2 linked regions of the Mus musculus genome follow. The protein of the gene in region 1 purifies or fractionates together with the protein of each later gene. This does not show direct contact. Links are inferred from orthologs where the notes say so. Each region holds a gene or a part of one and is shown on either strand. Other genes may lie near its edges.

The links. The genes of interacting proteins can lie anywhere in the genome.
Region 2: the proteins of Gdi1 (region 1) and Rab31 purify together in Homo sapiens (co-immunoprecipitation; 3 studies listed by BioGRID and IntAct, counting the BioPlex papers as one, with this or other methods). This does not show direct contact. The link is inferred for Mus musculus from reciprocal best matches to the Homo sapiens genes GDI1 and RAB31.

Annotation. Positions count from the first base shown.
Region 1 is NC_000086.7:74,310,095-74,312,428, reverse strand, and holds the end of Gdi1 (rab GDP dissociation inhibitor alpha), read right to left. Parts: coding exon 2,295-2,334; intron 2,040-2,294; coding exon 1,895-2,039; intron 1,792-1,894; coding exon 1,737-1,791; intron 1,643-1,736; coding exon 1,490-1,642; 3' UTR 562-1,489; downstream 1-561. UniProt on the Homo sapiens protein: Regulates the GDP/GTP exchange reaction of most Rab proteins by inhibiting the dissociation of GDP from them, and the subsequent binding of GTP to them. Promotes the dissociation of GDP-bound Rab proteins from the membrane and inhibits their activation.
Region 2 is NC_000083.6:65,696,181-65,699,836, reverse strand, and holds part of Rab31 (ras-related protein Rab-31), read left to right. Parts: intron 1-1,774; coding exon 1,775-1,846; intron 1,847-3,459; coding exon 3,460-3,566; intron 3,567-3,656. UniProt on the Homo sapiens protein: The small GTPases Rab are key regulators of intracellular membrane trafficking, from the formation of transport vesicles to their fusion with membranes.

The DNA of each region.
Region 1 (2,334 bases):
CTGATACCTCTCCTTTAAAAATTTGTGTGAGGCAGAGGAGATGGCTCAGGCAATGGTGAGTACCCAGAATCGATCCCCAGCATTCAAATAGCTCACAACTGACTGTAACTCCAATTCCTGGAGATACTGGCTTCTGCAGGCAGCAGATATGCAAGTTGTGCACACCCACCTAGGCAAAATAGCCATACACATAAAAATTTAAATGTGTTTGTTTACATGTTGTGCACAAGCCACTGAACATGTGCAGAGGTCATATTGTGGAATCAGTTTTCTCCTTCCACCTTTACATGGGCTCCAAAGATCAAACTCAGGGTCACATAGAAAATATCTTTATGCATTGAACCATCTCACCTGTGCTATTCTGCTTCGGAGAGGTCAGTATAGCCTTGAACCCAAAACCTCCACACTGACTTCTGATTTGGAAACCACTAGTAAATGATGACCCGTCCAACACCAGATGACCTACTTCACCTGCCTTGATCCTTGCGGATACAGTTCTAGTCCAGAAGCTAAATTGCCCCAGTCCTGCAAAACAGCCTTAAAGCAGAGAACCTAAAGAGCCAGGCTTAAGTTTCAATAGTTTTATTGGGAGGTTTTTGTTTTCTGTGAAATATACTAGAGCTTGGGGAAGGGGACACATTCACTTTGCAAGGTAAGGGTTTCCCACCACTAAAGGAAAAGGCATGGGGCAGGGTACACTGGGGTTTGGATCCACTTTCCTACCTCCTTCTGCTTTGCTCACATTACTTTTTCTCAGTGAACACAACACAAAAGAAATTCAAAACAGATCAACCTCCAGAGGGGGTCACACCTAAATCTTCTCCCATCCCAGGCTTTGCCAGCACTGGGAGAGGCCAGGGCAGCTCACTCTACAGCCCTAGGCTGCACAGAAAGGCTGAGGGCTCAGACAATTACTCCAAAGTTAATAAATTAGAATAAATTATAAGGAGGAGGAGGAGGAGGAGGAATGCAATTTTGTGCTGGGAGGGTCCCTTCTCTCCAACACCTAAGAGTTGGGGGAGGAGATGGGTATCTCCAAAGGCCACTACATTTGGGACTAAGAGCAGTGGGGGTGGGGGTCAGCTTTTCCTCCACTCCTTCCCAAACAGCAAAATTGGGGGTGCACGATGCACACACACATGCACACACATGTACACACGCACACACACGTACGTACACACACGTACACACACGCACGCGCGCGCGCACACACACACACACACACACACACACACACACAAAGTTCTCTTTCCCTAGAACAAGGACAGACCAAGAAAGAGGATACTATCCAACTCCCATCTCCCAAACCATCCCTAAGGTTAAGGATATGGTCAGTGAATAAAATCAATAAGGTGGGTGATTGGAATGTGGTAGGGGAAGCAGAAGATGCTGGAAACAAGGATGCCTAGCCATACCATCTCCCCTGCCCTAGAGAAGGACATACAAGTTGGGGAGAGGGGAACAGGGGCTGGAGGAGGGGAGTCAGCAATCACTGATCAGCTTCTCCAAAGACATCATTCTGTTTGCGCTTCATGTTCTCAAAATCAAAGGCAGAACCAGCCATGCGTTTGTAGATATCTTTGATGTCATTGCAGGTTGTCTCAAAGTGTGTGGTAGCATCATAGGAGCAGGAACAGAACACCTGTAAATAGACAGAACCCCAGGGCTCACGGAAGTCAGGCAGAGGATCTTGGATAGACTGCAAGAACCAAGGCTGACTGGGACAGCATTTTTACCTGACTCTCTGAACCATCATCAATGGGCTCATATAAATCACTGATAGCCACAAACCTAAGGGGCAAATAAAAGAAAAGAAAGAAGAGAAAAGTCTCATAATGGGCCTTGCCCATTCCTAATCCCCAACCTCCCCATAAAGTTTGGTTCAGCCTCTCACTTCTGGTCAATGGGTTCCAACAGCTCCAATGCAGGCTCAACTTCCTTTTCTGGTTCTGCAGTCTCTACAGTGGTGCTGGCAATGGCGATGTATTTGCCCTGTGCGGCCACGTTGTGCGCATAGGAGATCATGCACACATAGATGTCTGACCATGGGAAGCCAATTGGTTAACATGTACCAGAGGAAAATGGCCACACACAAAAAGTAGTTCCTAGAGGCTAGACAGGAATCTGGCCCACATGCTCCTGCTCCCAACCCAACATGTAAACAGCATTCAAACTGTCATTTTCATGAACAAGGTAAGAGCTCAAGCCATCCAAGCCGCAGGGATTCTGTAACAAAATGTCACAAGAAGCCCTAAGATTTCTTGTGAGAAGAGATGCATAACAGCCTGGCCTACCTGACTTCCTGTTGACCTGGTTCTGAGGGATGATAATTTG
Region 2 (3,656 bases), on another chromosome or scaffold:
CTACCGAACTCCAGGGTGGTTTTCCTTCAAAGAGAGACTTGTTTGTGACCATGGCGTCCTGGCTTCTCCCTAGGTCTTCTGAGCATTCCAACGAGAAGTAGCATGTGGGAAAGAGAGAGAATGGGTAGTTTTGTTGTTCGCCAGAAAAACTACAGGAATCATCTTTCCTCTCCCTCCTTTATGCCCCAATAAAAATAGCAGATTTTTTTTTTGAAATATCTTATTATGTTGTGTGGGGGTGGGGACCATGTGGCTCTGTTAGAGACCAGTTAGACTCTGTTAGACCCAGTTAGAGGTCAGAGACTGTGGAGATGCGGTTCTCTGCTTCTGCCATGTGGGTTCCTGGGGTTAAACTCAGGTCTTCAGGCTTGGTGGCAAGTGCCCTTACTTGCTGAGCCATCCCACTGGCCCTTATTGCCATTTTAACCTAAAATCATCTTACTTAAAATTATTGTGTGATGTATAACATTTTAAATGTAAAAATTACTGGACTTTCTATCACTAACAGTTGGGGAATGATCTAGTAGTTTATACATCCATTGCTGAGGTAGATCCTTGTTTACAGACAGCCTTCTTCTTTCTGTATCCTTGTATACAGGGTGTGGAGGGGACATTCTTCCTCTCTGTGAAATACTCTAATCCCATCATGAGACTCTCTTCATGACCTCATCTGACCCCATGACCTATGACACCCCCGATCTTCCCCCCCAAAAGCCATCACAATGATCAGGATCTCAACCCTGGAGTTGTGTGGAGCACACATTCAGTCCAGGATATAACACAGTGCCCCGATGAACCTTCACGGTCTTTGATTTTTACTTCCTTTACAACATAGGGAAATATCTTTCTGGACCTGGTGGCCACACTAAGTATATATTTCCTGTAAGTAGACTTCTGGGTCAAAGGGATTGCACATGTCAGTTTCTGCTAGGTCGTTCCCAGTGGCTTTGTGGGGAAGCACTAAATACCACCCTGTGTAGTAGTTGAGGGTGTCTTGCTCCCCAGAACCACCCCAACATTGAATCTAAGGCCTTTTAACGCTTATTGCATTATTAAGCACCTCATCATTTTTAGTTCATTCTTTTGTTAATTGAGTAAGTGTAAACATTTGCTGGTAATTTGTAGTGAGTACTTATCATTTCTTCAACTCCCTACTGAGCTCTTTTTCACTCACTGGCCTATCCCAAAAGCTTTTTAAATAAAAAATATATATATACAAATTAAGACTAGGCCCCCATTCAAAATATGCATGTAGTGTATACATTCAGAGAATAATTATCCATCTTATTTGAGGATGAGAGGTTCTGGTTCCTAACCTAGTTTGGGGGCTGAAGCCCATCTAATGTGTCACCACTAGCTGACCTTGGTAGGCAATAAAGCTTTGCAACCAGGCAGGTCTTTGCTCCGTGCCAGTAGCTCTGCAAGGGTCTAGTGCTCTGAGCTCTCCTAGGGACCTGTCTTTTCCTTACCACTCCAGAGTTCTAATGAGACTGCCCTGGACCAACAGAGAAAAGGAAATTCAGAGGAAGGCAACACTGAAAATAAATCTGTCTCTGGCTTTTGGCCCAGAGGAGATTTCACGGTCCATAAACCACAAGTGTATGGCTAGCTGGGGAGCAAAATTTATTATTTAATCTTAAGTCTTGGAGAAGTCCAAGGGGGGATTTCGAGCTCCTACAGAGATGATGTGGCATAACATTTTAATGTGTGGCTTAGGGATGCTTAAAATCTGTTTGTTGACCGAGGCCTAAGACTGCTGCTTGCTCTTCCACAGTTCCACTCCCTGGCTCCTATGTACTACCGAGGATCTGCTGCAGCCGTCATCGTCTATGACATCACTAAGCAGGTAAGGATGTCTCCAGCTTCAGACACCCTGCTTGGTGACCGTCCCAGAAACACTGAAGCAGACTGGTGCTTTGTGATTCTTGCCAGTGCCCTGGGAGCCTCGGCCATGTGGCAGGCAAGAAAGCTGAAAGCTACACATCCCGTTTCGCTCACCAAGCCACCCTGATTGATCTTTTCAATTACGGAAGCAATAAACATTCATTTGAAAGCTGATCTTTTAAAACAAAATCTATTCTATTTATGTGTAGTTTTACCTGCCTGTATATCATATGCTACGTGTGTGTCTGGTTCCCAACTGAGGTCAGGAGAGGGCATTGGATCTTTTGAAACTAGACTTGCGCATCCTTGCGCGTCACCATGTAGGTGCTAGGAACCAAACCTGGTCTTTCTGAAAGAGCAGCCAGCAGTTTTAACTGCTGAGCCACCTTGCCACTCATTAAAACTGAGCATTCACCAGGAGGCCAGGTGAACACTTTCCTTGAGAAAGTTTTAAGTCCCGGGTGTTTTATCATTATAGGCTATTTTCTGTTGGAGGTTCAGTTGCACCATTCAAAGGTCAGAGGTAATATTTGTATATATAAAGGTAACTGTGTGTGTGTGTGTGTGCTTGTAGGCGGTTGTCCCCATTTATCTGCGGTTTGCTTTTCTGTAGTCCTTGCTATGCAAGGTCAGCTTCCATCCAAAAGTATTAGATGGAAAATTCTAGGAACGAGTGGTACAATTAAAACAGTGTGTTCTATGATTATGACCACGCTATTTTGTTACTGTTTTTATCTTACTCGGCCCACTTGTTTGCTTCAACTGTGTCGTAGGCACGCGTGGGACAGAAACAGGTTGTTTCTAGGCTTGGGTTCCAAGGTAGTGTGTCAGGCGTCCACCGAGGACCCTGGAATGTATCGCCTGTGGATGAGATTGCCTGGAATGGATTTTGAGGTATACTCATTAACAAGCGAGTGCTTCGATTTGATGGCGTTCCTCCTGCCCCAGTCCCTCTGGAATGCCGACTGGTAGCTGGATCATTGCTGCTTGTGTAGTCCATGAGTTCTGACCTTTTTCCCCAAAATGTCTGACCACTTGGCCTCTGCCCTAGAGGAGGGTCGAGTGAAGGGCAAGCAGGACCCGAACACACACCTTTCTCCTGAAGTAGGCCTCGGTATTTGTTTGGTTCTGAGATTTTGGCTCCTACAGAGTCAAGGCTAATATTTCTAGTCAGTGGTTCTTACTGAAGAAAGTTACACATGTTGGTTTTCAACTCCCTCAAGTTTTAATTTAGAAAGAGACATCTTGGGCTGGTGAGATGGCTCAGTCGGTAAGAGCACCCAACTGCTCTTCCAAAGGTCCGGAGTTCAAATCCCAGCAACCACATGGTGGCTCACAACCATCTGTAACAAGATCTGACTCCCTCTTCTGGAGTGTCTGAAGACAGCTACAGTGTACTTACATATAATAAATAAATAAATCTTAAAAAAAAAAAAGAGAAAGAGACATCTTAGCTAATGTTAACCCCTACAAAATGTCTTTTTTTCCTCCATTGAATTACACTGGATTCACATCTCTACTTCTTTGAAGTATACCGACAGGATTGTTCAGTGACTCATTTTGTTTTTTGGTTAGGATTCATTTCATACCTTGAAAAAATGGGTCAAGGAGCTGAAGGAGCACGGCCCAGAAAACATTGTGATGGCGATTGCTGGGAACAAGTGTGACCTCTCTGATATTAGGTAAGACACATTTCATGTGTGTATGTATGTGTGTGTGACGTGTGTGATGTGTGTGATGGTTGTGTGTGTGAGATATGTGCACAACCTATC